7 linked regions of the Oryctolagus cuniculus genome follow. The protein of the gene in region 4 purifies or fractionates together with the protein of the main gene of each other region. This does not show direct contact. Links are inferred from orthologs where the notes say so. Each region holds a gene or a part of one and is shown on either strand. Other genes may lie near its edges.

Region 1 (4,733 bases), about 48 Mb from region 4:
GTACTACATTTGAGTACAAATCCTCTTTAAACTGATACACAGAACTGCTTTCTATCCAACTCCAAATTCAGGTAACACAGAAGTATAGTTTAGAAGTGTAGTTCATGAGGCTGGCACTGTGGTGTAGAGGGTGAAGCCATCGCCTGCAGTGTCAGTTTCCCATATGAGTGCTGGTTCGAGACCCAGCTGCTCTACTTCTTATCCAGCTCTCTGCTATGGCCTGGGAAAGCAGCAGCAGATGGCCCAAGTCCTCAGGCCCCTGCACCCGCATGGGAGACCAGGAAGAAGCTCCTGGTTCCTGGCTTCGGATCAGCGCAGCTCCGGCCCTTGCGGCCAACTGGGGAGTGAACCAGTGGATGGAAGACTCCTCTCTGCCTCTCCTCCTCTCTGTAACTCTTTCAAATAAATAATCTTCTTTAAAAAAGGAAAGTAATTCAAATTCTCCTTCGACTGAAGTAAATGCTCTCAATACGGTGACATCCAAAGACCTTCAATTTAAGAACTGCAGAGCACCCATGAAAAATAGCCGGGTCCCTTGTGCCTTCTCCTCTTCATTCTCTAGTCTTAAATTCATCTGGAGAAGAAACTCTACTACAATTTCACTAACTTATTTTCACCCCATCCCCAAACAAAATAAAGTTTCTTCTAGGATTGCTGAAAGTCTCACTGTGTGAAAGTAACGTTAGCAACATAAAAACGACGACAAATTTCATAAAAGCTATGACCAGTTAAAACAAGAAAATGGAAAATATACAGACAACACATAATCCCAAAGTATACAAATGCCATTAAAACTGCAGTTCACAACGGAAAAACAAAGATTTTTATAAATGTTTACAGCAACATAGGAGCCAAAATAAAGACTGGTTAAATCAGTACTGTACAACATTCTATCAATCAAATGTCATAGTTTACTACAAGCCATTAGTAGAAACAAGGTAACTGGTTCATAACGGAGTACAGATGAAATAAACCCATCACAAAAACTGTTGTGGTTACCTTTAATTTTAATAAGATTTCGAAAAATTATTTTGAAGATTTTTTTCCCCATTGGAAATGCCCAACAACTCTTCCGTGGTCATTTTGTGCACCAGAATTACCACAACAGGCAGATCAGAAGCCAATCTATAAAGTAGGTCCACAAAATTTTATGTCTTACCTCCTGCTTACTCAACACTAGTTACTGCACAAGGATAAGAAAGTATCACTCCATCCAGTTATCTGGATAAGCGAGAAGTCTTTCATAAATTAAGTATGAAAAAGCCTAAAAATATTTCATGAAGAGGCACTGAAGAAAGCTCAGTTTCTAAATCATGCAATTCTTCCTTCACTGTGCGTAGCAAGGTGAAGCAATGTATTTTCTTCAACCAAGATAGTCTTGAACTTAACTGCTCCTTTGCTTGCAGTTACAGGCCCTCTTTTGGATGCAATGTTATACTCGTTGGATAAATAAAAGACACTTCCTAGAGGTCTTTGTCTACCAACTTTAAAACACTGTGTAGCCCAAGGAAATTTTCTAACCTGTAATTGGCATCATGTATTCAAACCGTAAGCATAGTTTTAAAAAAAAAACACATTTTCAAACTTCACATTTGACTACAATGGGTTACATTTAAACACATACAGTCTTTAACAGCATAGGAAACACTTAAAGCCACTTGGAAATATCTTTTCTAATACTTAAACCAGAGACACAGTCATTCCTAAGATACAGAACAGTAATTCTGAGTCTGCATATTTGTAAAACTGTTAATGGAGGGAAAGAGAAAACAAAACAAAACAAAAAAAAACCACTTTAACCATGGGGATATTAAAACTTCGTATGCGGACCTGGAAGACATAAAAAAAAGCTTTTAGGGTGCACTGCAGTTGGGCACTATACATGTATTTAAAAAAAAAAAAATGAGACTAGAGAAAACGCAGGCTCGGAGCTCAAACGTCACTACTCCAGCAACAAACGAGTTCCTTTCCCAGGATGCTTGGCCAGTTGGTTCTCGCGGGCAACCGTGTCCGATGGGACACTGGAAAACCTGGCCGGCTCCTCCTGCAGCCTTTCAAACCCTAAGCAGAGCCCGGGCGGGGGTGGGGTGGGGGATCAACCACGAGCCTCCGAAAACAGGGTCCCACCTCGCACTCCGTATTTTGAAACTACACCTTGTCTACGTCTTCATCACGCTCATCTGGGCGTGAGCAACCATCTTTTTGTTTCATCCAAACCCCACTGCGCGCCTCCAATTCCTGGTCGCGGCCCCAGCCACTTATCTCCGCGGCTATTTTCAACACAAAGGCCCAGAACGGCTGAGACTAGGATGCACTGCAAGCTCCTCTGTTATTAACAGGGCACGGGCTTTTGCACGCAAGCGGCGGGCGCCCCAAATCCAAAGACTTGTTGCAAACGTGCTGGCACCGACGGCGCCTGCACCAAGTGGGACGGGCACGAGGAGGAGGGCGCCACGCCGAAAGCGGCCGGGAGCGTCCCGGAGACGGGGCGCGCGGAATACAAAGGGTCGTGAACGCGGCCTTCCATGAGGCGGCCGTGCGCGGACAGCGAGACAAAATGGAGCGACGGGAGGAATCGGAGCCCGAGCGGCCCGGCCGGGGAAGAGGCGGCAGGGGCGGCAGGGGCGGCGGGCGCGCGCCCCGCCGGGGCTTCCTCTTCCAGCCGGCGGCGGGGGAGGGGGCGCGGCGGCCCGTTCTCCCCGCCGCGCACACGCGGGCCCCGCCGCCCGGGCCTAGCGCGGCGGGAAAGCGCTCGCCGGCCGCCGCCAACAATGGGGAGCCCCGAGGCCGCGGCGGCGAGGGAGGGGCCAGCGGCGCCTGCACGGCGGCCCGCGACCGCGCTCCAGGCCCTGCGGCGGCTCGCAGCGCCCGCGGCCCGCGAAACGACGCGGTAGAACGAGGGGGCGAGGGGGGCGCCGGGGCCGAGTGGCGGCAAGGGCGCACGGTCTGCAGCAGCGTCGGCTCGCGGCCCGCGGCGGGCCCCCGGCGCGGCGTCCAGGCCGCAGCGTCGCCCGCGTCGGCGGCGCGGGCCCAGGCCCACACGTACCTGGTTGAACTCTTCGCCCACATCCGCGTAAATGTCTATGTGGTCCACACCGTCCGCCATCTTCCCTCGGCCTCGGCCGCCGCCGCCGCTGCCGCCTCCTGCAGATCCGCCCGCCGCGGCAGCAGCAGCGGATCTGGCGGCGGGGGCGGGGCGCGCTGCGTCACTTCCGAGGCCCGAGGGACCGAGGCGGGGGCGGCGGGCGGCGAGGGCGCTGCAGCGGGGCCGCTGTGCGGACTGGGAGGAGGAGCTGCGCCTCCTCCCGACGGCTGCGGCCGTTTGTTTTGTGCGTGGGGTTTGGGCTGGGGAGGGGGCGCGGCGTGGACAACTCGTGTCCCTCCGCTGCCGGCCTATACCGCTGGTTTCCAGAGACCGCCTTTTCGCGTGGCTCCTGGCACCCTCGAATGGTTCCCCCCCCAAAAAAATTTTTTTTCGATCCTCCGTTTTTCCTACGTTTCTCACATTCAGGGCTTCTAGCAGTGGTGGAAGTTCGCATTCCACGCGCAAATACGAAGCGTACGCTCCGGGCACTGGGAGCGCCGAGAGACGGGGAGCGATGTCCTCCTGCATCCTACCGGGGCAGCACTCGGCTCTGCCTGGTGCACGCTACGGACCCGTTGGTGGTCTGAGCTATTTGCATACAGTTTGTGTCTCCTTCGCCAGGCGTCGTTGGCCACTTTCCCGTCTCCCTCCTTCATTTTTTTCCCTGCTTAGCTCTGCAGTAGGTTTTCGCTGGCGTAGTTCAGCTGCTTCTCACTTGAATGCAATCACCTGGGAGCCCACCCAGCAAAGTCAAGGTAGCTGGAGGCCGGAGCCTTCTCTCTTAGAATTATAGAATGACCCAGCCAGAAGGGAACTGGGAAGAGTGTCATTAGGTACAAATAGCTCATTTACAGGTGAGAAAACAGGTCCAGGAGAACCTAAGCGATTCAACCGGGGTTCCCGTGAGAGCCTGTTGCCATCAATGATTTATTCAAAATGCCTCTCTAATTTGGAACACCTCCCCACCTTTCTTTCTTTTTCACTCATTTAAAATCCCATCAGGTTAGAATGTTTCCTCAGGTACAGACTGGCCAGAAATCATCTGCACAATAAATATAATAAGCCAGGGGACATTTGTACATATTGTAGTTGGGAAAGCTTGGTTGCATTCGGGGAGACCCATCTGGGGATATGGATGCAAGTCTCTAAGGTGCAAATTTCTACTGAGACGTTTTACCAGCTAGAAGACCTCAGTTGAATTATCTGCTCTCATCTTCAATCTCAGGCATTTTTAAAAAATGTATTTGTTTATTTTAAAGATAGAGTCCCAGAGAGGGAGAGCACAACAGCATCTAATAGGAGATGATTCCCGGTCTCACACAAGAGTGCGAGGGGGTCAAGCACTAGGGCCTTTCCCTGCTTTCCCAGGCCTTTAGCAGAGAGCTGGGGTGGAAGTGGGGGCAGCTGGGAGGCCTGCGTCACAGGCGGTGACCAAACCACTGTGTCAGAACCCTTTCTGCGCCGCAGTGCTAAACCCAGTCTCTAATTTTTTGAAATGCATAGGGTTGGCGTTGAGGTACAGCAGATTCAGCTGCCGCCTGCAATGCCGACTCCCCGTATGTCCAGCTCCCTGTTAATGTGTCTGGAAAAGCAGCAGAAGGTGGCCAAAGTGTCTGGGTCCCTGCCACCCACGTGGGAGACCCAGGTG
Region 2 (4,732 bases), on a different chromosome or scaffold from region 4:
ATTTAAAAAATACAGCTGGGTGGGGAGCCCTTCTTGGATAAGAACAAATAAAATATGAAACAACTAATACCTGTTCCTTCAAAGGAGTACACATTTGATTGGATTTGTTTATATAGTTACTTATATCCAGGGTACTGTTAAAAACAAAGGAACAAAGCCAGCAGTTAGCGGAGTTTAACAGTTGGAGGTGGTCAGGGAACCAGAGGAAGAGAGCTCTGTCAGAAGCCACTGCCATCCAAGGTGACAACTTTAAAAAACTAAAACTGTGTGTGGTGCTGGTGGTATGCAGTGAATTTGCCTCAGGTAATGCAGTCACTAAACAAGCAAAAACAGATGCTTCTCAATTTATGATAGGGTTTTTATCTTACAAACCCACCAAAAGTTGAAACTATCATTAGTCAAGATGGATTTAATACATCTAACCTACCAACCATCACAGCTTAGCAACCCAGTGCAGTATACCCTTGTGATCCGTGGTCTAGTGGGAGATATGGCTTACTACTGTTGAAAATATCATGATAGAGAATTGTACTCCATATTGCCACCCTAGGAACAGATCAAAATTCGAAATCTGAAGTACAGCTGCTTCTCAAATGCATACCACTTTTGTATATCTAAAGCCAGAAAAGTGTTAAGTCAAATCATCAGAAGACCAGGACAGTCTGTAACAGTAACTGGGGAGAGACCAGTCCTGAGGGCTGTTACAGTGCATTATGTTCAGTGCCCTGCTTTCACAAACGATTATGAGGCGCGCAGAGACAAGAGAATACGACCCACACACTGGAGCAGGGGCGAGGGGAAATCCAGCACAGAAACCACCTGTGAGAATGACCGGATGTTGGATTTATCATTTTGAAAGAATTCAAAGTAGCCATTATAAACATGTTTACAGAACTAAAGAAAAGTATAACCAAAGTAAAGGAAGTTACAATGATAATATCTATTTGATGTTACATCAAATAAAGAATATCAATAAAGCAGCAGAGATTATAAAAATAAACCAAATAGAAATTCTGGACAGCATAATTCTGGAAATACTGTAAAGTATAGTAACTGAAATAACTTCATTAGGGGCCCCACAGTAGAAGAAATCTGCACTGGTAGAAAAAAGAATAAACTAACTTTTAGATAAATCTATTGAGACTACACAAAGCCAAGGGAAACAGAAAGAAAGAATAGAAAAATGAAAAGTGTGTCAGAGAAATGTGGGACCAATAAAATAAGGATACTGGAAGGAGAGGAAGGTGACAAAGGGGGGAAAATCTATTCAAAGGATTAATGGCAGTAAGCTTCAAAAATATATTGAGAAACAGGAAGCTACACACCCAGGAAGCTCGGCGAAGTCCCAGTAGGTAAACACATCGAGATCCACAACAGACACATCACAGTGAAAAAGTTCAAAGTCAGACAAGGCAGGTGGGGAGAGGGGCAAGAGAACAATTCCTTAATTACCAGTAAACATCAGTAAGGTCAACAATGACTTCTCAGTAAAAGTATTAAGGACCAGCAGCACTGGAAATTGCAGTCAAACCTCCCAGAGGAAAAAGCTGCAACCAAAAATCCTTTACTCAGCAGAGCAGTCTTATGAACATGAAGGTGGAATAAAAACATTTCCAAGGGAGCAAAAAGTAGAGAAGTTACGCTAGCAAACCTGTCTTACAGGGACACGTAAGGAAGTTCTTCAGATGAAAGCAGATGATCCCAGGCAGTAGTTCAAATCCACAAACAAAACAAAGCAAAAAGCACCAGAGAGATAATTTTATAACTAGTTGTAAAAGATAATTTAAGTGAATATTTTCTCTTATTAACTTATTGTATAAAAAATGGAATGTTGGGCCCGTAACATATAGGAATGTAATACATGTGAAACCTCCAATAATAGCACAAAGGCAGTGAGTGGAAATAAAGTTGTATTTGACTAAGACAATGGGAACAAATGGTAAGGAAATAATTATAACAATGTCCTGTTAGGTGTGTAACATTAACTAATGTTAAATATGTTGTGTAAAATACCACAAAAGAAAAGAAGAGAGAATACAGGTATACAGGAATAACTGCAACTAGCTAGTATAAACTTGAACCTACTTCTGATTATATGTATACGGTAAATCTGGGGCAAACACTAAATAATGACAAAAATAACAATTCCAAAACACAGAAGGGCAGATTAGAGGGACAGAAAAGACCTGAAACATAGAAAACAGAAAGTAAAATAGCATAAATAAATCCAACTAAGTCAATGATAACATTAAATGAAAAGGTATTAAATAATCCAAAGACAGAGGTTGCTATATAGCATTAAACAAACAAACAAACAAACAAACAAAAACTATGTTCCTATTGTATGCCTTTATAGGAGGCATTCTTTACATTAAAAAATAGAAATTGGATGAAAGTTAAAGAATGGAGAAATACGTATCATGCAAACAGCAACCAAAAGAAAGCTGGAGTGGCCCCTTGTTGTCCCACGCTGTTGCTATGGATTCGTTCTGAGATGAGGAGTGTGGTGGGGGCAAGAGGCGCAAGTCACCATACGACCCTGAGAGTTGGGTGAAAGTGGGCCAGAGGTGAGCAGCCCGAAGGCTCATTTATTTCAGTTGGTACAACAGCTTATATAGCCAAGGCAGCCAATCCGGTCAAGGGGCGGTCTATGCCCTAACCAATCACAGCCTGTTGCCCGGCAGGCTCCATTGCCAGGTGGGTTTCAAAGCCATTCCTGAGTAACTGACACTCACTTGCCAGCGGCCATCTTGGCATGGCCTTATTCCACCTCACTAAGCCTTGGGCTTGTGGCCTCTGGCTGCCTGCTCTCTGCTTTTCTGCCCACGCTACATTACCTGTGGCTGCTCCTAACTGCACACTTGCTCCACCTGGTTCCCTACCTGCTCTCTGCCTGATATCAACCCAACTTAATTTCTAGACTTCTTTCTACTCTAGACTTCTTTTCCCCTAAAAAAAAAAAAAAAAAAAAAAACCCTCACTTTCCTGTGTATTTCTCTCACTGAATACAGGCTGAAAACTGTACCATGTTGCCTGTTTCATTTATAAGCAGCTGATATTTAGAATTCTGATCTAAATATACAGCAAGAACCCTTGAAATTTTGAGTAAAGGTGCCCGACTTTAGTATTTTAAGTGAAAGATGGAGTAGAACAACCAGTACTGTGGCGTAGCGAGTAAAGCCGCCATCTGCAGCATAGGCATCCCACATGGGCACTGGTTCCTCCATTGGCTGCTCCGCTTCTGACCCAACTCCCTGCTAAACTACTTGGGGAAGCAGCGGGGGGGGGGGGGGGGGCCTCTGCATCCACATGGGAGACCTGGATGAGGCTCTTGGCTCCTGGTTTTGGCCTGGCCCAGCCCTGATCATTGCAGCCATCTGGGGAGTGAACCAGCAAATGGAAGATGTCTCTCTCTTTCTCCCTCTCTCTGTAATTCTGACTCTCAAATTAAAATAAATCTTAAAACACACACACACACAGAGATGGAGTAGAGGCATTGGGATCATATTAGCATGTGGAAGACACTGTCCAGTTCCTGGGGGAACACATTTGAAGGGGCACAAATGGACGTGAAGACTTCAGAGAGAGTACCAGGGTTCTCCCAGGCAGATGCTGATACAGCCTTGGACTAGAACAGCAGGAGAGGAGTTACAGAGGTGACTACAGCAGTTCCCCATTACTGGTGTGTGTGTGTGCATGTGTCTCTGTCTGTGTGTGTGTTCTCAGACTGCAAGTGGAGGCCTGAATACACAGAGTACCCAATCTTACATATACTGTGTTTTTTCCTATATGCACATACCTTTGATAAAGTATTTTATAAATGAGGCACAGTAAGATATTAACAACAATTATGAATAGGAAAATAAAATTCAGAAAATATACCATGATGAAAGTTATTTAGAATCTAGGAATTCATAGGACCCGTGTTGTGGTATAATGGTTAAAGCATCCCATACAGGCATCAGTCCTGGCTACAACACTTCCAATCTAGCTCCCTGCAGATGCTTCTGAGAAAGCAGGCAAAGATGGCCCAAATCCTTGGGCCTCTGCACCCATGTGGGGACCCGGATGAAGTTTGTGGTTCCTGGACAAGGCCTGACCCATCCCCCTGGCCATTTCAGCCATCTGGGAAATGAACCAGCAGGTGGAAGACATCTCTCTCTCTCTCTTTCTCTCCTCCTCCCCTCCTCCCGCAACTCTGCCCTTCAAATAAATAAAATAAATTTTTCAAAAAGAAAAAAAAAGAAAGCTGGAGTGGCTATGCTGATATCAGACAAAATAAGATTTTAAGCAAAATATCACAGGAGCAATTTCTTCTTCTTATTTTATCCTGTCAGGTGGCACAAAACTGATAATGTTCACTTTGATTTTTCACTTTATTATTGCCATGTCTGACAAGTTTCTCCATTTGAAATTATTCTTTTTCCCTGTATAATTTTTTTTATTTGACAGGTAGAGTTAGACAGTGAGAGAGAGAGAGAGAAAGAGAGAGAGAGAGAGAAAGATCTTCCTTCCATTGGTTCACCCCTCAAATGGCTGTTACGGCCAGCGCAGCCGGGAGCCAGGAACCAGGTGCTTCCTCCTGGTCTCCCATGTGGGTGCAGGGCCCAAACACTTGGGCCGTACTCCACTGCACTCATGGGCCACAGCAGAGAGCTGGACTGGAAGAGGAGCAACCGGGACAAAATCCAGCACCCCAACTGGGACTAGAACCCAGGGTGCCAGCGCCACA
Region 3 (4,019 bases), about 5.6 Mb from region 4:
GCGGTGCGCCAGCCGCAGCGCGCCAGCCGCGTCGGCCATTGGAGGGTGAACCAACGGCAAAGGAAGACCTTTCTCTCTGTCTCTCTCTCTCACTGTCCACTCCGCCTGGCAAAATAAATAAATAAATTAATTAATTAAAAAACCTCACAGAAACGCATGTTATGGGAGCCAGCACTGTGGCATAGTGGGTAAAGTCACTGCATCCCATCTGGCCACTGGTTCGAGTCCTGGCTGCTGCTCCACTTCTGATTCAGGTCCCTGCTAATGCGCCTGGGAAGGTAGCAGAGAATGGCCCCAGTGCTTGGGCCCCTGAACCCATATGGGAGACCTGGAAGAAGCTCCTGGCTCCTGGTTTCAGTCTGGCCCTGCTCTGGCCATTGATGGCATTTGGGAAATGAACCAGCAGATGGAAGATCTCTCTCTCTCTCTGTCTCTCCCTTTCCCTCTGTAACTCTGCCTTTCAAAAGAAAAAAGAGAGAGAAAGAAAGAAAACAAAAGAGAGAAAGAAGGAAGGAAAGAAAAAATAAAAAAGAAAAGAGAGGGAGGGAAGGAGGGAGGGAGGGAGGAAGGAAGAAAGAAATGCATGCTATAAAAACTGCATGGATTTAATTTTTTTTGGGGGGGCACCAAGATAAACGTGTCTTTCAAACTGTTCTTTCCACGAGCTTCCTGAAGTCCCTTGGTATGAACAAGGCTGGTTCCCTCCCTCCCCCAGGCCCTCTCCTCTCCTGACCATGCCAAATGCCCCCAGCACCAGGGCCAGGAAGGGGCAGCGGAAGGGAGCTGAGAGGTAACGGAGCAGCCTGGGGTGAGGGCTAGAAGGCTTCCAGGGGGAGCAGGAGGAGGGGAAGTAAAGTGGAGAGAGGGAGGGCGGACACGTGGGTGTGGAGAGGAAGGAACCCGGAGGCCAGAAGCAGGCAGCAGGCAAAGAACACAGCCCGACAAATCAGAGGAGTCGGCCCCTTCGACACGCACCGTCCCGCAGAATCTGCCCAGTGCAGAAACTGCCATCAGCCCCATCTTACAGAGGGAAAGCCCAAGGCTCAGCCAGGCTCCACACTCGGGTTCACCCACAGATGGCAGGAGACGGGTGGGAGGGTGAGGACAAAGGCAGGAGGTACCAAGGAGGGAGAGGCGAGGGTAGAGAAGGCAGAGGAAGCAGGCAGGGTCTCGGGGCCAGGGCAGGACGCTCACGAGGCAGGTGGCGCTGATATTCGCCAGCCACTTGGTCAGCGAGCTCCGGCAGCTCGCAGGCCCTCAGGCCCCGGATGAAGGAATCCACCCAGCCGGTCCGCCGCTGCAGGCTGTTGAACAGGTCCCAGAGGGTGTCTCGGTTGCCCAGGCGCGTGTAGGAGGCCCGCAGCCGATCCTGGAAGACACAGCCCCGGAGTCGTGCTCAAGCCAGTTGTCGCTGGCTGCCTCTTCACCCAGCATGTGACAACTGCAGAGAGGGGCACCGAGAGACCCCAGTGGGGAGCAGCCATTGGACACTGGACCCTGGCCCAGGACAAAGCCAGGATCAGGGCCCTAGAACAGAATGAGGAAGAGCCATGAGCAGCAGCCAATAGCCAACGACCAACTGCAGCTGCCGGGAAGTGGACTCTGAGTGTCCTGTAATTAGCTCTCCTTTGCTGATGAGAAGCAAAATGTATTGCCTGCAAAAGCCCTGGGACCAGAAACCCCCCCCAGAGCAAAATGAAAACAAGCCACAAAACAGAAGCAAAACACAGAAAACGGTTGCTAAGCGATAAGGGATCTTCAAGATGCAACATACAAGAGGAAGGGGTCAAACCCCATCAGCCCTGAGACGCCTGAAGACAGGAGACCCCGAAAGAGAGCGCAGGGCTCCCATTGGAGACAGCAGCTGAAATGGGGAGGGGCGTTTTTCTCTGTGCTGGGTGCGGTTGGAACCATGGGGGCCCGTGGGGCAGGGTCCTGGGACGAGGAGAATGGAATCAAATCTGGGCAGGACAAGGACTAGAGGAAGGGAAGAGAGGGCTCCGAAGAACAGTGGGACCGGAGCCAGCCGAAGCACTACACGAAATCAAACACAAGAGGGAGCCGGGGAGGCTGGCAAAGCCAACCCCACCACACAGTGCGCCAAGTAGCAGGGACAAGAGGCGGCATACAGGGCCTGGGAAAAGTTTGCAGAAACATCAGAAAGACAAGTGTATGTAGGTGCAGGAAGGTTTGGAATCCACATGTGGGCGGTTTCCGAATATGCGTTTCCTAGGAATTTTTTGAAGACCCCTGGTCCACGAGGGGCAAGGAAGGAGCTGGCCCTGGCTGGGGTGAACCGGCGGGGGCTGGGCTCACCTGGTCATTTGCCGTAAGGCAGGGCAGGTAAGGCAGGATCTCTAGAACATCCACACGGCAGAAGCTGCTGTGGTGGTGGCAGATGTACTTGTAGGTCTTGTCCTCAGCAAACGTCATCGCCGCTCAAGTTCTGCAGACGGGGCCCTGGACTCGGCGAGCGCTATGGCCGAGCGCGATGGACTGAGAGACGGGGAAGACTGGAAGAGAGCAGAAGGCAAGGCCACGGGGCTGGGAGGGGCGGGGCAAAGGCATTTCTTTCCTGCTCAGCCTGCTGGAATTCTGCTTTTATCTTTCATCTTCAATTTCTTTCTTTCTTTTTTTTTATTTATTTGAAAGTCAGAGTTACACAGAGAGAGGAGAGACAGAGAGAGAGGTCTTCCATCCGCTGGTTCACTTCCCAAATGCCTTCAATGGCCAGAGTTGGGCCAGTCTGAAACCAGGAGCCAGGAGCTTCTTCCGGGTCTCCTACGTGGGTGCAAGGCCCCAAGGACTTGGGCCATCTTCTGCTGCTTTTCCAGGTCATAGCACAGAGCTAGACTGGAAGTGGAGCAGCCGGGACTAGAACCAGCGCCCATATGAGGTGCTGGCACTGCAGGCAGCGGCCTAACCTGCTACGCCACAGCACTGGCCCCTCAATTTCTTTAAATGTCCTAATTGCCTGGATCCTAGGGGCTCTCAAAGAATTTGCTCAACAATGAACTGAAGACCAAAAGGAGATGCAGGTGATGCAGGGCCCATGTCTGTCCTGTAGCTTGGTCGGTGCTGGAGCCTGTGCCCCTAGCACATGGAGGGGGTCTGCCTGTGCCCCTAGCACATGGAAGGGGGTCTGCCTGTACCCCCAGCACATGGGGGACGGGGCCCTGTCCATGACCCTGGCTCCCAAGTCTGTGAGTTGCTCCCAGCTCTAAGGCCCTTAGAACAATAGCAATAACTCCCCATCTTGAAGTACTGCTTCTTTGGGGTAGGTTGGGGGTGATGGTGGTGGAGGCCAATCTGATAGCAATAGGATCATCTAACTTTAAAGATGGAGAAAACGAGGTACCAAGAAGCCCAGGGGCTGCTGGACGTGGAAGAGCAAAGAGCCGGGACCCTCAGCACCAGGTTCTTTCCGGAACACAACTGTGGGCCGTGGCTGTAGCGTGCCGCGTGCCCATGCTTCCAGGGAGACTGCACCCCACCGCCCTGAGCTCGTGGGGGGACCCGGGACCCAGCATGCACCTCTTCCAAGATTCTTCCTCACCTTCAAATGGCTCCGCGAGCTTACTTTGACAGTCATCACTTGGCCCCACATGCTCACAGTTTTTAAAGTGCTTCTAATACAAGCCATTGCTTCAGCGGCTCTTAGCACAAGTCACACTCAGTGTTTGCTGGTTTCCTATTTGCCTCTCCCACCAGGAAGTGCTGCAGGGAGTAAGACAAACAGCCTGGGGCCGTTGCTGTGGCCCACGGGTTAAGCCAAAGCCTGCATCCCAGAGGAGCATGGTTGAGTCCCGGCTGCTCCACTTCTGATCCAGCTCCTTGCTAATGGACCTGGGAAAGCAGCAGAAGATGGGCCTAGTGCTTGGGCCCCTGCACTCAATGTGGGAGACTTGGCTAGACTTCAGGTTCCTGGCTTCAGTCTGGCCCAGCCCTGGCAGCTACGACCATTTGGGTGAGTGAAGCAGTGGATGGAAGATCTCTCTCTCTCTCTCTCTCTCTCTCTG
Region 4 (2,972 bases):
ACTAGATGTTACCACCTTCTCTTTAGCCAGTACCACAGTTCTTCCTCCTAAATGAAAATATAATTTAGAAGCTGTTTCATTGACCTCTGATTGGACTAGAAAAGTACTCTGGTTACAATTTGAACTCCTTAGCAATAATTAAACATAATTGAAGTTGTTGGATTAAAATAAAATTGTAAGATACAAATATCATCAATGATGGTCTTAGATGAATTCAGCTAGATGAATTCCAATTCTAAATTAACTTTTAGAAACAGTGAAGGAACCATGGTGTCAATATTGTTTGCAAAGTTTAGTATTTTCAAGGCAATTAAAACAATCAAACTTCCAAATGAGGAGAGGTGTGAAGTCGTTTGTGGGCGAGGAGCAACTTTTCCCTGAAGTCACACAAAGCTACTCTGTAGAAGAGATGGAAGAGTCTTGCATCACTTCCAGGAATAACATCAAAATGATGCACGGATTCATGCTCCAGAAAGGAAAAACAGTCAGGCCAGGCTGAAATGAGAGGAAGAGCACAAGCTCTAGGTCTGTTCACATCCCCAGAAACTGGGCCAAGCCTGTGTTTTTAACATATACCTCTCATCAAGAGGCTTAACAGGAAGATCTTGTATATTGCTGTTACTAAGGGACTTCCCGGCATATCTGCAGAATCTCAAAAATACAAAACCCTACTCCCAAGTGAGACTTCTGACACAAATATAAAATTGTTAAGGAAACAATCTAGTAGAATAAGACAGGGCAGATTTCATTGCTGTTAAATCTCATGTTAAGTAAGGTTTCACAAGTCATTTGCAGATAAGATTTCTGGAAGTGCTGGAGAGAAATCCAGAATCACTGGGAGACAAATTTACTTATACTCAGTAACTCTCTAAAGTCACAGTCCAACTTTACAACAAGATGTGCAACAAGCAGAGAAGGAAAAGGACAAGCATTGCAAGTAAGTTCTTATCCTTTGGTGGCACAAGTTCTCAGAAGTTACTCTTGCCCGAATCCTTCTGTTTCTTCAATGGCAAACAACAGCTTTTCCTTCAGTTGCTCATAGCTCTTGTAGGGTGGCAGGTCCAGGCGGTTAAAACTGGGGAAAAAAAAAAAAAATTTGTAAGCTTGAGAAAAGGAAATATACAAAGAATCACATGGGCAGTGTAATAAAGCAAACACTGGTTTTAATTTCACTTATTTTCATTTGAAAGGAAGAAAGAGAGAGAGAAAAGAGGGAGAGATCTTTCACTTAGTAATTTACTCCCAAAAAGCTCACCAGAGTCAGGACTGGGTCAGGCTGACACCAACAGCCCAGAACTCCATCAAGGTCTCTCATATAAGTGTAGGTGTCAGGGACCCAAGCACTTGAGCCATTACCTGCCATCACCATCACACATCCCAGAGAGTGTATTAGCAAGAAACAGAGGAGCCAGGACTTGAACCAGGCCCTCTGATACAGGATGACTTAACCAAAGCACCAAATGCCTGCCACACAACACTGATTTTAAAGTCAGGCAAAACTGGGTTCAAATTCCAGCTCTGTCACCAGGTCTTTAAGCAAGTGCTCCCTAACTTACCAAGTCTCAGTTTCTGGTCTGCGAGAATGAGAGTAACAACAGTTATCTCTCAGAGGCAAGAAACAAGCACTCAGCACAGCACCAGGTGCTCCTCACATACTAAAATGCCCTCATTCACTCTGATCTTCCTCAGCGATCAGCAGATGTTCTCTGGAAAGGACCAGAGAGTAACTGTGGGCCATAGGGTCTCTTATCAAAATTTAAATTATACCCCTTTTCTAATAAAGATACTTATTTATTTATTTATTTGAAAGGCAGAGTTAGAGAAAGGTCTTCCATTCTCCGGTTCACTCCCCAGATGGAAGTGGAGCAGTTGGGACTCAAACCAGTGCCCATGTGGGATGCTGGCACTGCAGACAGTGGCTTTTACTTGCTACACCACAGTGCCAGCCCCTAAATTATACCTTTTTAAGAATAGGAAACTATTTTCTGCTCTAATATTCTATTCCCATTGAATTTCTCTGTCCTACTGGTGGCTGTGTTTTTTTTTTTTTTTTTAAGATTTATTTTATAGTAAAAAAATAAAAAAAAAAGGCTTATTTTATTTGAAAGCAGAGTGACAGAGAGGGAGAAAGTCAGAAAGAGATCTTCCATCTGCTGGTTCATTTCTCAAATGGCCACAACAGCTTGGTCTGGGCCAGGCCAAAGCTAGGAGCCTGGAACTCCATCCAGATCTCCCATGTGGATGGCTGCTTTCTCAGGCACATCAGAAGGGAGTAGAATGGGAAGAGCAGCGGGGACTTGAATCAGTGCTCCAGTATGTCACAGTGTCACAGGCAGAGGCTAAACCCACTGTGCCACAATGCCAGCCCCAGCTGTGAGTTTTTAAAAGGACATCTTGTAATATGGGGGCCTATCAGTATCATTATAATACATAATGAATCTGTCCCAAAGCCTTGTCCTCATATATTTTTAGGATAAGGTTTAGAAAAATCTTTGCCATTGGGCGGGCGCTGCAGCTCAATAGCCTAATCCTCCGCCTCGCGGCGCCGGCACACCGCGTTCTAGTCCCAGTCCGGTTGCCGGATTCTGTACAGTTGCCCCTCTTCCAGGCCAGCTCTCTGCTGTAGCCTGGCAGTGCAGTGGAGGATGGCCCAAGTGCTTGGGCCCTGCACCCCATGGGAGACCAGGAGAGGCACCTGGCTCCTGGCTTCGGATCAGCACAGTGCACCGCAAACGGCAAAAGGAAGACCTTTCTGTCTCTCTCTCTCTGTCCACTCTGCCTGTCAAAAAAAAAAAAAAAAAAAAAAAAAAAAAAAAAAAAAGAGGCAGCCAATGGAGGGTGAAAAATCTTTGCCATAGGGGAAAAAAAAATGCTGCCATGAAAAGAAATGTACATCTAGTGTTAGTTCTTGCAAATGGAAACATGCATCCTGACAAAGTAATGAGGCTGGTTTACAGGTGTACCTGAGCTAA
Region 5 (4,019 bases), on a different chromosome or scaffold from region 4:
TCTCACAGATCGTCATTCTTGTAGGAAGTCTAAAGAAGCAGGGCCAGTTCATTGTTTTCTCAGCCTATTGTTTGATTTCCTTTAAGATTAATGTAATTATACCAATATTTTCCCTTAGTCCTGATTTCTCTCTCTCTCTCTCTCTCTCTCTCTCTCTCTCACACACACACACACACACACACACACAGAGAGAGAGGCATATGTTTTCCCTTATTAATTGGTCTTTGAATTAATGGCCTGAGACATTTTCAGATGGAACATGATGGTCCCTTATACAGTTTGGACTTTGGCAAGAGAGCAGTCACTTAGGGTAGACTCATTGATTTGGTGCAGAATGTTTCAGATTTAGATTACATAGGAACCCCCATTGTTACACACCCAAAGACCCTCTTTTCAGCTCACATGGACTACCCAGTCTTTGTTGTTGACCTGTTCATTTGTTTCCAATGCTCAGGCATAGATCCCAACACTCATCTGTGGCAATAAGCTGACTTCCTTCAATGCCTACCCTTTTCCTTTTCATGATGGTCACTAGAATAAAGTAGAATGTAAACATATTCTTATTGTTTGGCCATGACCTAAAAACTTGAAGGACCATATTCCACAAGATTGGGGGTAGATATCTGTCCAGTTCTGAAGGCAAGCCTGTGTACATCTCATAGAATCTCTCAGTGACTCTTGCAGCTGCATCCATGCCAATAATCTCTTCATCTACTCTGGGAACTGAGACTTTTTTTCTTGGAAACTCCTACCAGTAAGTCACACAGAAACTAGCTGTTCCTAATGCGATTGACTTCAGCTTAGGGCTTTCCAGCAAAGCCTCCTTTACCTTGGGGTGGAGATAGCATTCATTTCTTTTGCTGCCCTCCTGTCATCATCACTGCCATTTTCCTCCCCAGGGATGCATCGGTCATCAGTCATTCTCCTAACACCAGTTATGACACAGCTCTTGAAGCTCGCATCCAGAAGGAGGAGGAAGAAATTTTGATGGCCAACAAGCGTTGCTTGGACATGGAGGGCAGGTATAAATGTCAATCTGGATGAAGATGAATCTGAGAATTTGGTGTAGAGACCAGATAGGTCAGTAGAGAAGGACACAGATATTTAGCGACAACTGGGAAGCCTGCTCACCCAGAATCCCCCTACCACCTTCACCTCTGCTAGCCTGTTACTTAGGGTTTGAGATGTGATGATCTTTACCTTGAAAATTCCTACCAATTGTTGAATTCTAAATAGTGTTGCTCTCCCCTATGCCTTCCTAATTGTGTTCCACCTGCCCTCTGCCAAAGTTCAAAGTTCAATTATTGGCATTTATACTCTGGATCATTCTTTGCAAAAAATATACCTTTAAGCCTATGATATAGCAGAATTCTTTTTTTTTTTTTTTTTGACAGGCAGAGTTAGACAGCAAGAGAGCGAGACAGACAGAAAGGTCTTCCTTCTGTTGGTTCACCCCCAAATGGCTGCTATGCCAGCGCGCTGTGCCGATCCGAAGCCAGGAACCAGGTGCCCCCTCTTGGGCTCCCATGTGGGTGCAGGGCCCAAGCACTTGGGCCATCCTCCACTGCCTTCCCGGGCCACAGCAGAGAGCTGGGCTGGAAGAGGAGCAACCGGGACAGAATCCGGCGCCCCAACCGGGACTGGAACCCAGAGTGCCGGTGCCGCAGGCAGAGGATTAGCCTAGTGAGCCACAGCACTGCTGATATAGCAGAATTCTTAATGAAAGAACATCCATTGAAACTGGGATGTAGGACTCCTGTTGCCTCCTGTAAACTTATAATCATTTATTATTACTGGAAGGCTATGGCTCATTAATAGAAGACCTCATCTTCTCATGGAACACATTGTTTTTGTTGACTCAAATTCTTCACAGCAGAGCCTGCCACACCAGTTCATTCTCTCCTACGTGGCCTTTCTTTTCACCAATACTTTACTTTGACCTTCTAAGGTGTAAGCAGCCACTCATAGATGCTCTACTGGGTGTTCAGGAAAACATTAAAAAAGTCATAGTACACCATTCCATAATATGCACTTCAGAATGAACTAGGCTACCCTTTAGTCAAAAAGAGAATGGGAAATCAAGTACTTGTAGGCAATGAGACCAGAACACAGAGGTAGCTCCAAGGTCTTTATATGTTTTTTGTCTTTGGTTCCTAGGATTAAGACCCTGCATGCCCAGATTATTGAGAAAGACGCCATGATCAAAGTTCTCCAGCAGCGTTCCAGGAAGGAGCCAAGTAAGACAGAGCAGCTGTCATCCATGAGGCCAGCGAAGTCTCTGATGTCTATTTCCAATGCTGGCTCAGGCTTACTCTCCCACTCATCCACCTTGACTGGCACCCCTATCATGGAAGAAAAACGGGAGGATAAGAGCTGGAAGGGGAGCCTAGGTAATGACAACTAAGGAAGATTATAGTCACACATTTAAAAAGATCTCCATATAGCAAGGAAAAAGGGTGACGCCCAGGTTCTAGAGAGGAAGATGTAGCTGGTCAGGATGTTTTCCTCCTGAATGGTTAACTACATATTGTAGAGCTCTGCCACACTGGGAAGTCTCATGGTGAGAACAATTAAAGAGGCCAGGGCCTGAGAAGATAAGAATTCTAAGTTCTTGGGTGGGAAGGGAGATAGCATCAGTGGCCTCTTAAAAATTTCTTCAATTTGGTCTTTGCTACACAGAATCCTTGTCCATGTCCAAAGCCCATGTGCCTCTTGTGCCATTCACAATTTCAAAATTCCAGCATTTCTTTGTTCTTTTCTCCCCTACAAGAGGACGACCCAGCATTCTACTTAATCAAAATCAATCTGGGTCGCAGGTTTTTGTTACCAGAACATTCTGATATGAGAACAGAATGTACTTTTTCCATTCCAAGCCTGTCCCTTCCATCCCCACTAATCAAAACCTCCAAAGTATTGTAGATACCATGGTACATTTTTAAAGCATGATGAAGGGAGTCATGTATATTTATTTACTTTAGCTCTTTGTGATGCTTTTTCACCTTTCTTGGTCCTCTGACACTTGCAAGTTCCTTTGCTTAGACCAGAGAAAGCATTTGGGAACCATGCTCATGTTCAGAACCATAGATCACACAATTAATAGCAGACTTATCTGTGTCTTAAGACTTCTTCCTCTGGTCATTTCCAGCTCTCTGGTAATGTGTGGTGTTGGTTATAAGTGGAACCGAGTGGAAGAATTCTTTCTAATCACCATTGGGAAAAATAAAACAGATACTCAGAACACTTCACTGTTTAATGTGTTGTGCTGGGAGTTGGATAATGAGGACCAGGGATCTTCCAAATCTAGAAGAAACCATTAGCCATGGTGGAAAATGCTGATAAGCCAACTCCTGAGTTTGCTGGAGGCAAAAAGGTTAAGAATTTAGGCCCACTCAAATTTCTCCTGAAGTCCTGAAGAGAAACAGATAATCAGATGTATGGATTAGAATACTGTATTGTTTCCTAACCTCTCTCCCTTGTTCATTTGCAGGCATTCTCCTGGGTGGAGACTACCGTGCTGAGTCTGTCCCTTCCACACCTTCGCCTGTGCCCCCCTCCACTCCCCTGCTCTCGGCTCACTCCAAGACAGGCAGCCGAGACTGCAGCACCCAAACTGAACGTGGACCGGAACCCAACAAGCCTGCAGCTGTTACTCCCATCTCTGTTCCTGCTCCAGTTGCTGCTGCCGCCACTGCTGCTGCCATCACTGCCAACACTGCCACTGCTGCCACCAACACCAACACCATGGTAGCTGCTGCTCCAGTCGCGGCTGCTGCTGTTGCTCCAGCTGCCACTGCTGTTGCTGCTGCCCCATCTCCAGCAACTGCTGCTGCTCTTACTGTTGCTGCTTCTCCAGCTGCTGCTGCTCAGATGCCAGCTGCTGCCTCTGCCACCACCGCCACTGCTGCTCCTGCTGCTGCTCTTGCTCCTGTTGCTGCTGTTGCTGCTGTTGCAGTTCAGGTTGCTCCAGCTGCTCCGGCTCCGGTTCTAGCTCCAGTTCCAGCCCCGGCTCTGGCCCCAGC
Region 6 (4,504 bases), on a different chromosome or scaffold from region 4:
GCCTTGCGGCGCTGGCACACCGGGTTCTAGTCCCGGTCAGGGCGCCGGATTCTGTCCCGGTTGCCCCTCTTCCAGGCCAGCTCTCTGCTGTGGCCCGGGAGTGCAGTGGAGGATGGCCCAAGTGCTTGGGCCCTGCACCTGCATGAGACCAGGAGAAGCACCTGGCTCTTGCCTGCGGATAGGCGTGGTGCACTGGCTGCAGCGTGCCGGCCGTGGCGGCCATTGGAGGGTGAACCAACGGCAAAGGAAGACCTTTCTCTCTGTCTCTCTCTCTCACTGCCCACTCTGTCAAAAAAAAAAAAAAAAAAAAGTAATAATAACTTTATTTTGACGCATGCCCACGCACCCTGTTTTGAAGCCCACGCATCCTTTTCTCATACTATGCATTTCCCATGAACGTTTTTGAAGCCCCCTCATGGCAGAGGCTCCAGAAGAAAGCCGAGGAGCTCCCACTGGCTCTCCAAACAGGGAGGGAGGCAAAGGGCCAGGGCAATGACTGGGCAGGGAGAGGCTACAGACAGATGAGGCTGGGAGCAGCCTGGGAACCCAGAGGGAATGGGCCCTTACCCAGGATACCACCCTTCCGTTGAAGCAGGGCAGGCGGGCATTGTCATCTGAAATTTCTTCCTTCACCACCCTGCCGGGAGACAGGACGAGGTCAGCGAGGCTGGGTCAGCCACCCCCGCCGCCAGCTTCTCCGTCTTCACCCAGCTCAAGGATGCCGGCCACCCCCTGCCTCGTTCCCCCTCTCTCCTAGGGAAACAACCTCCAAACCCCACTCCCACCACGTTTCGCCTGCTCGCCCCAGCTGGCCCTCAGGGGCAATGCTGCTCCAAAGACTTCCTGCAGCATGACTGGAAGGCCAACCCCTGTGGTTACCTGGTTGCCAGTGAGCCTTGCTGGTAGCCGTCCCCAAACCCAGCCCTGTTCCGTACACACCTTCCCCAACCTCATACAAGCTTCTACTCTCCCACTTCCCTTTAGTTTTTTCTAATCCACTTCCAGAGAGTGGTCCAGATGTGCTGTCTTTGTCAGGGGACAAAAGCCCATTAGAGGAACCAACAGCATCTCCTTAGGCTGAGAGCTGGGAAGAAGAGAGGAAGCCAGGCTTCCCGTTCCCCTGTGCCTCCCCTGGAAGAACTCTGCTCTCAACAACATGCTGGGTCTCAAGACCCCAAAGCCCCACCAGCTCCCCTGTGTTCCCTGTAGTGGACTGGACTTGCCCCCCTTTCTTCTCAACCACCCCTTGCAATCAGCAGCACCCATTCTGTTGTACACCACGCCCTGACCACGCAGCATTAACACTTGTTGACTAAACAAACAAAACACACAAACCAATAGATTCTCTGGTTTCTCCTCTGTCTCACAAACACACCCTCTCCCCTCCCCAAATCAGAACATCTTGTCTGATTAACCCTTTAGCCTAATATGCCTCTGGGAGTGTGTATATACACCAACTGAATCCATTTGCTAGTTATGTGACAACAGGGCCCAGCCACTACCAATCTGTTTCAGTGTAATTAGTGTTCTCCCAATATAACCCATCTTGGCACAGCTCAACCCACTCCACGGCAGGCTATTCTGTATCACCACAACCGAGTTTGTGGACCTGTGGGCCTCAATGCCAAGGACAACGATGACCACGCCCCAAGAGTTTCCCATGTGCCAAGCGCGGGAACTAAGCATTTCACTCTGTGATTATCTCAAATGTGAGAAAAATCAACGCACAAAGGTAAATGAAATTGCCCAAGATTACACTGCTGACCAATCCAAGAGCTTTGATTTAAGCCCAAGATAACTCCCAAGACAACTGTCACTCTCCCCACGCTGAACGACCTTTTTAGGCAGAGTCCAGTTTGTTCCGTCCCCCTAAAATCCAAGCCATCAACACAATCTAGCCAGCCAGTGAAACAACTGAGCAGTCAAAACAAGAGTGGTCATTCCCCAAAGTGAGAAAAACAAAAGGGCTTCGAATATGTTATTTACAGTCCCAGTCAAGTCCAGGAATCCCCAAATTACCCCAGGATAGCCCAATCTATTCTAGCACAGCCTACAACGTCCCTGCATGCAGCTGTCTGCACCAATATAGACTAGACTATCCCAATACAGCTGTCTGTATTAGCAAAAGCCCCAACAGCCTTATCTGCCCTGTACTAAGTGCCCCGATGCGTGCCGAAGAAGAGTTATTAGGTTAGGATCAACCAAGAGACCAGAATGACCCCAGCCCGTCCAGTAGCCCACTCCAAGGCAGCCTAGAACACCGCAACTTTTTTTTTTTTTTTTTTTTTGCATTAGCATGCATACACTCCATGGAGTCCCCAAACAATCCTGTCTCTGCCACAACGTTCCAACTGCCGCCAACACAAGCCCGGCTATGTCAAGAGACTGCAGGCTGTCTCCACACAAGCTGTGTGCTACAGGAAAACGCTCAGTCCCGACCACCCCAAAACCAACCTGCGCGCCCCCACCTATTCCATATGGCCCAATCTTCTCCACTTTATCGCTCCGTGTGCATCCATCTGTCCAGGCATAACCTTGTCCGTCCTGGGACGGCCACTCTGCCTCAGTGTGGCACAATCCGATCCACTGAAGGCCAGAAAACCCGTGTAACCCAGAGCAGACCCGTGCCCCCTGCAGAACGCCCCATCCGTGCGGGTACAGCCCCCGTCAGTCCCAGGCTAGGCCTCGCGCTCACCCGAAATCCTGATCCATGGACTTGAAAAAGTACTTAGCACCCGCGGGCCGCTGCAGAACGCTCTTGAAGTCTCCAAGGGTGATGCGCTCGGCGGGGACTGGGATCTTCACCAGGTAGGGAGTCTCCTCCTCATCCAGGTGGTAAATCACCTTCGTCTCCCCGACGCCTCCGCCCCCCGTGCTGCTGCCCGCCATGGTCTCGCCCGCGCGCTCCCGGGCTCCGCCGCCCACCCAGTGGGGCTATCTGCGGCCCGCCGCGCCTGCGCACACTCGAACCCCGACCGGAGCGCGGACGCGACAGAGCCAGTGTGGGCGTGGGGCAGCGGGGAGGCGGCGGGGTGCGGCAGGGTGGCGGGCCGCGCGACGCGCCCCGGAGCGGCGCACTCAGCCGCCGCGCGCCACCGCCGCCGACGTCGCGAGCGCCCTCCAGGGCCCCGCCCACCTCGCCTCATGTCACGTGGCCCGAGCCCGCCCACCTCGCGCTCCCTGCACCGCCCTTCGCCACGTGACCCCTCCGCCATCACGTGACTACTCGGCTCCTCCCAGCGCTCCCTCCACGTGACCGCTGCCTTCAGCAACGGTCTCCCAGCCCCGACCCACTCCGCCCCCGAGCGTATCCCCCACCGGAGGTCCTCCCGGCTGGCACCGTGTCCTGGGGACCTCCGTCTTCGGGGTGGGGGGCGCCCTGCGCCGTCCGGGCGGGAACGCGAAGCGACTGCGCACGACCGTCCGTGCAGGAGCAGCGGGACCGCGGGCGCGCGTGGAGGGAAGAAGCCGACGGAGCCCCTGGGGTTGTGTCCCGGCGCGGGAAGGCCCGGACGCCGAGGTGGGTTTGTGCCCTGCGGCCAGCTCCCCCAGAGCCTCCCCCCAAGCAGGACAGTCAGGGAGGGCTAGAAACACAAAGAGCCCACTCTGCTTTATTTACAACACGCAGGCTGTCTGTACAAACGGCTGGCCAGTAGTAAAAACAAGAGGTGCGTGAGGACCGTCACCTTGCCGCTCTCCTTGCTCGCTTGGCCAGGCTCACTCCACCTCTGAGCCGCCACGCTCGAAAGAGGAAGTCCAACATTAAAAATACAACCGGTGTAGAAGAAAATAAATTGGGAGTAAAATAAAAGATGAGGGAGGGGAATGCTATATTTACACTAGAGTTTATAGACAGCTGTCCCAGTCCATCCCAATTCCAACCCTGGCAGGTCCAAGATGCTGCATCCGGGGCCCCCGACAGCCTCCCACGCCCAACGCAACGTCCACTCCAGTCCACAGGCTGGGGAGGGAGGGGAGGGAGGGACCGTGAGACTCATTTCCGAAGTCTGCCTTGGGCGTTCCTGCCTTGAAGCGGGGACCACATCCAGACTCCAGGGGATGGGCTGAAGCCCCCGAGGCTCAGTTCCCGAATCGTCACTTGCCAGTTCCAGCCTGGAGTTGGCAGTGTCAGGGCTCTCCAGATTTGGGAAGCCCCCCTAACCGCCGCGCCTCAGGCCGCAGTTCCTTGCATTTCTGGCAATAAAAGAAGTCAGGGACATTGGTCTTCTTAATCTTAGCACAGGAGAGGTGGATCCACGTCCCACATAGGCTGCACTCGATCATGGGCCGCCCTGCGAAGGGCTTCCGGCAGTAACACGTGATCAGGTCCCATGAGTCATCACCTGGGGAAAGAAGGTTTGCTGGATGTCCTGCCTGTGCTCTTGGATCCAAACACCCCGCACCCCACCGTCCCCGCTGCCCAGGCAGCCCCCACCTCACCTGATTCCACCATGATGTCCTCGTCCATGACCCGCATCTCGCCTTCGCTGGAGCTGGCATCTCC
Region 7 (4,019 bases), on a different chromosome or scaffold from region 4:
AAACAAGAAGAATGACGAGTAGAAAACAGGAACAAACAACAACAACAAAAAACACGACCAAAGAGTCTGCATGAAAAGCAAGCATTCGGGAGGGAAACCTTAGCAGCAAAGTAGTTTGAACGCTGGCCTGCTCGGCTCATGCTCTGTCCTGTCCCCACGCGGCTACCGGCTGTTGAAGATCACCTCCAACCAGCACGGGCAACTGCTGATGAACTGGCGGGTGTAACACTGGCCCCAGCCCTTCACGAAGCTGATCTGCACGGTGAAGCCAGTCCACGGCTGCTGCATGAACTCGTGGTCGTTGGGCCGCTGCAGGCTGTACGCCTTCTCGTAGTCGAAAGCCTTGATGGAGAAGCCGGGGAACACCTTGTGCACCAGCAGTGTCCTGGAGTCCGGGTTGTCCAGTGTGGCGGACTTGATGAAGATGGGGTAACTGCTGCGGTTGTAGACCCACACGCCGTCCACCTCCCGCGTCAGCTGGATGCCACAGCCGATTTTGCTCCGCACTTTCTGCACCAGCTGACTCTTGTTGTCCGAATTGAGCTGTCCGAGGCAGAAGCCGTTCCCCTGAGGTAGATCATAGAAGATGTCCAGGGAAGGCTCCTGGACACAGTAGAGCCTTCCCACTCGCGTCTTCTCCTCCCAGTATGCCACCACGCACCAGTGTGACCGATCCCCAGGCTCCAGAAGAAGTTGGGAATCTGCAAGACAAAAAGGGGGGCGCACGGTTGGTGGCGGAGGGGACTGGCGTTTGCTTTTGCTTCTAGGACCAAAACACACACTCAGTGCCAAGGCAGAAGGGAGGAGGGGCGGCCGTGGTCCTGGACCGGCTGCAGGCCCTGGAGTCTGGAATCGTGACCCAGTAAGAGAAGAGCCCGGCTTTCCTGGTGCACAGCCCTGAGCTCCCCCAACCTGGCCAGGGAAGCCCCATCCTTGCAGAGCACGGGCCAGAGGTGCCTGAGTCTCGTGGCTCTTGCTTTTAAGGTTACAGGTGGCCTGGAATTACAGCTGTTTCAACTGGACGCAACTTTGAAAGCCATTGATGCCAGCGCCCTGGGCTGTCCTGATGGGAAACCCAGGACCCAGAAAGCTTGTTACTCAGAGCCAGGCAGTGACACAGACAGATCCAGCACCCTGGTGGTCCCCCGCCACCACTGTCCAGCAGCTCTGCACAAAAGGGGTCAATTCAAAATGCCCAATCACAACACACACTGGGACATCAAGCCAGACTACCTTAACAAAACTGGTTCCTGCCCAGCCAGAAGGTGAGGAGTCCAAAACAGAGAGGACCATGTCCTGGAAGTGGCCCCAGTGGCCGTGCCAAGGGGTGCCCCCTCCCCCTTTTCCCCTAGGCATCCTGACCCTGCACAGTGCAAGGCTGTTCCTCCCCCAGGGCCTTCCTGCAGGCCCCACCCGGCTCTGCAGAGCCCAGGGTGAGTCTGTTAAGGTGATTTTCCCAACCCTCTGCTCCGGGGACCTGCAAGGGAGGGGGGATCGTAGGGAGGGCAGGGGGCCAGGCGGCTGGCATTCCGACTCCTCCTTAAGCTGGAGCCAGCGGGCAGGCCTCAGACTGGGGCCCATAAATCTCCCTAGCCCAGCCAGGCTGCAGGGACGCTGTGGTTTGTGGCGGCAGGGTGGAGACCGGAAGTCTTGTATTTGTTAACAAAAAAAAAAAAAAAAAAAAGAAAAGAAAAAGAAAAAAGAAAACGGGGAACGGGGAACGGGGAGGGAGGCAAGAAAGCCCGGCATGCCACCCTCCCTGCAGCCCGGCCCTCCCCGTCTGGTGGGCTGGCAGGGACTGAAGTGTGACTCGCGTTTCGCTGGGGTCTGTGTTGGGAGCAACCGGGCTCCCAGAGGCCCTGACAGGGAGCTGCCCAGTCCCAGGGGTCGGTCGGCGGTAGGAGGAGGGCTCGGGGCGCCTGTCCTGAACCCCAGTGGGCTGTGGAACCGGTGCAGCTTAACACAGACTCATTCCAGCTTCTGCAGGCATGTTGGGACCTGGGCACCAGTCGGCTCCATTAGTGCTGTTTTTTTTTTTTTTTCCTAAAGCAGCAGCCAGTCCTGGATGGAGGTGGCCTGTGAATAAGTCTGCACAAATAATGCACACACTGCACTCCACCAAGGCAGCCACGAACACACACACACGCGTGCTGAGCTGTGGCCGTGGCAGGGCTCATCTCTCCCCCTCCCTCTCCACCCCCAACTTTGAAATCTATGCCCAGAGACTGGCGGTCACCACCCATCCCTGGATGGCCGGGCGTGCGCTGCCTAAGTGTATGTGTTATGGCAGCGTGCGTGAGAGCACTGTGTGTCCCTGGGCTGTGTGTGCTCTCTCTCTTTCTCTCTCTCTCTCTCTCACACACACACCTTGCAACATATGGGAAAACATGAGAGAGGCAAGGGCTCTGAGCAAAGAGTGAATCATCAGGCATCGAGCGTCTGCAAAGGATCCATCAACTGCTAATAAAGCGGCGAGTGCGGGCAATCTTTGAACTTGGGAGTTCACCTCCCAAGGCTACACCAGAGGCCGGTGACAGCCACGGAAGCCAGAAGATCTCTGGCGGAGAGAAAGCCCTGGCTGCCCCCAGCACACACCTGGCCTGGGAGAGGGGCTGGGCAGGGGCGCTGGGGGTGGGAGACTCCTCCCTCGGGGAGCCCCACTGGGTGTCAGGCAGCCTAGCGCCACTGGAAGCTGGCAGGCACTGGCAGGGAGCAAGGAGGAAGAGGACCTAGGTGCCCCATGCCAGGCCCCAAAGGGGCGGGGCCTCTCGGGGCAGAGGGAGCTGGGAGGGGGCGGGGAGGGGCGCTCCAGCGGGATTCTCTTTCATCTGGGCAGCCCGCGTAGCTACCCCGCTACCAGACCTCTCCTGGAAAAAGCCTCTTTCTGTTGAGGTTAATGGCCCAGCCCAGATAAAGGGTGTCCCTGAGTGTAAACAGGGCCCCTGAGAGCCGGCAGGGTGCCCCCCTCCCGCCCCCCCCCCCAGGGCAGCTCCGCTCTCTGCCTCCTGTCAGGGCTCTTCCTAGCACAAAGACACGCTCCCCAGCAAATCCACTGCGGGGCACGCAGCCCTGGGTGCTCCCGGGGCACCCCACACGGCAGAGCCCCCGCCAGCCGGGCTGGTTTCTGGGAAGCACTCAGCGTCACTGTCACAGACCAGTTCCCCGAATCGGGCCCGCAGCCCACAAAGTCTCCCCACAGGGCCGGTGTGGGCGCTTGGCCCGGGGCTTCCCAGGCCAGGCAGCCAGGGGCTGAGAAGTCCCCGGGCCTTCAGCCTCGGCTTCTGGCCATCACCTCCGAAAGGCAGAGCCCAGGGGCCCTGCCCTCAAGGTCACAGCCTCCCCTGTGTGTTCAGCGCCTCCTGCCCTCCCGCAGGAACTGCACCCAGCTTCTTGCCCAACTGCATGTGCTCATTTCAAAGCATCCCAAAGAAAAGCTCACTAATCAATGCCTGCGAGCGTTTTCTTTTTATTACACTTTAGGGAATTTTTGGAGCAACACCAAAAACATGCTGAGTCTGCCTAAAATTCCTTTAAGGTGTTTTCCCCCCCTTCCCCTTCCTCCTTTTCCTGAAAGCATAAACTCTCCCCTTTAAAGGGAAGGGGGCGGAGGGTGGGGGGTGACCATCCAGCAAGGCGCTCCTGCCGCCGACAGGAGACCAGCAGCTCAGGGACTCTCAGACCCTGGCCAATGGCACAGGGTGACCGGACCCGAAGGCCCCACAGTGGGTCAGCAAGAAACTGTCTTCTTCCTGATTTCTAAACTGAAAGACAAAGATGACCAACAATGGGGTACGAAGCCATTCCAGGCCAGAGAGCTGGGGCTGTCCCAGAGGCACCTGTGGGATTCTGAGCACATAGGAGGCACCCATGGGGAGCAGACGTTCCAAGATTCAGCCCTTCCAGGACATGGGTGAGCTTGGCCAGCAGCCAGGAGGCGGGGGTCTTCCTGGCTCTCACCTCTGCAAGGCACTGGACTGCATGCATGTGCAGTCTCTCTGCCAGGGTGCAAGGTGCCCGGG

Evidence for each region.
Region 1: the proteins of ITCH (region 4) and CPSF6 purify together in Homo sapiens (affinity purification with mass spectrometry; 5 studies listed by BioGRID and IntAct, with this or other methods). This does not show direct contact. The link is inferred for Oryctolagus cuniculus from reciprocal best matches to the Homo sapiens genes ITCH and CPSF6.
Region 2: the proteins of ITCH (region 4) and CFLAR purify together in Homo sapiens (affinity purification with western blotting; 8 studies listed by BioGRID). This does not show direct contact. The link is inferred for Oryctolagus cuniculus from reciprocal best matches to the Homo sapiens genes ITCH and CFLAR.
Region 3: the proteins of ITCH (region 4) and MAVS purify together in Homo sapiens (affinity purification with western blotting; 3 studies listed by BioGRID). This does not show direct contact. The link is inferred for Oryctolagus cuniculus from reciprocal best matches to the Homo sapiens genes ITCH and MAVS.
Region 5: the proteins of ITCH (region 4) and AMOT purify together in Homo sapiens (affinity purification with western blotting; 3 studies listed by BioGRID). This does not show direct contact. The link is inferred for Oryctolagus cuniculus from reciprocal best matches to the Homo sapiens genes ITCH and AMOT.
Region 6: the proteins of ITCH (region 4) and DVL2 purify together in Homo sapiens (affinity purification with western blotting; 4 studies listed by BioGRID and IntAct, with this or other methods). This does not show direct contact. The link is inferred for Oryctolagus cuniculus from reciprocal best matches to the Homo sapiens genes ITCH and DVL2.
Region 7: the proteins of ITCH (region 4) and SMAD7 purify together in Homo sapiens (affinity purification with western blotting; 4 studies listed by BioGRID and IntAct, with this or other methods). This does not show direct contact. The link is inferred for Oryctolagus cuniculus from reciprocal best matches to the Homo sapiens genes ITCH and SMAD7.

What each region holds. Positions count from the first base shown.
Region 1 is NC_091442.1:71,555,534-71,560,266, reverse strand, and holds the start of CPSF6 (cleavage and polyadenylation specificity factor subunit 6), read right to left. Parts: upstream 3,205-4,733; 5' UTR 3,107-3,204; coding exon 3,047-3,106; intron 1-3,046. UniProt on the Homo sapiens protein: Component of the cleavage factor Im (CFIm) complex that functions as an activator of the pre-mRNA 3'-end cleavage and polyadenylation processing required for the maturation of pre-mRNA into functional mRNAs.
Region 2 is NC_091434.1:38,896,819-38,901,550, forward strand, and holds the start of CFLAR (CASP8 and FADD-like apoptosis regulator), read right to left. Parts: upstream 2,975-4,732; 5' UTR 1-2,974. UniProt on the Homo sapiens protein: Apoptosis regulator protein which may function as a crucial link between cell survival and cell death pathways in mammalian cells. Acts as an inhibitor of TNFRSF6 mediated apoptosis.
Region 3 is NC_091442.1:29,180,978-29,184,996, reverse strand, and holds part of MAVS (mitochondrial antiviral-signaling protein), read right to left. Parts: intron 2,514-4,019; 5' UTR 2,434-2,513; coding exon 2,317-2,433; intron 1,370-2,316; coding exon 1,195-1,369; intron 1-1,194.
Region 4 is NC_091442.1:23,587,197-23,590,168, forward strand, and holds part of ITCH (E3 ubiquitin-protein ligase Itchy homolog), read right to left. Parts: intron 1,076-2,972; coding exon 976-1,075; 3' UTR 1-975. UniProt on the Homo sapiens protein: Acts as an Acts as an E3 ubiquitin-protein ligase which accepts ubiquitin from an E2 ubiquitin-conjugating enzyme in the form of a thioester and then directly transfers the ubiquitin to targeted substrates.
Region 5 is NC_091453.1:80,573,132-80,577,150, forward strand, and holds part of AMOT (angiomotin), read left to right. Parts: intron 1-899; coding exon 900-1,022; intron 1,023-2,157; coding exon 2,158-2,390; intron 2,391-3,487; coding exon 3,488-4,019.
Region 6 is NC_091448.1:51,839,190-51,843,693, forward strand, and holds the start of DVL2 (segment polarity protein dishevelled homolog DVL-2), read right to left. Parts: upstream 3,111-4,504; 5' UTR 2,890-3,110; coding exon 2,696-2,889; intron 638-2,695; coding exon 568-637; intron 1-567. Other genes in the region: PHF23 (PHD finger protein 23), read right to left, coding at 4,129-4,343, 4,441-4,504.
Region 7 is NC_091441.1:28,938,043-28,942,061, reverse strand, and holds part of SMAD7 (mothers against decapentaplegic homolog 7), read right to left. Parts: intron 702-4,019; coding exon 163-701; 3' UTR 1-162. UniProt on the Homo sapiens protein: Antagonist of signaling by TGF-beta (transforming growth factor) type 1 receptor superfamily members; has been shown to inhibit TGF-beta (Transforming growth factor) and activin signaling by associating with their receptors thus preventing SMAD2 access.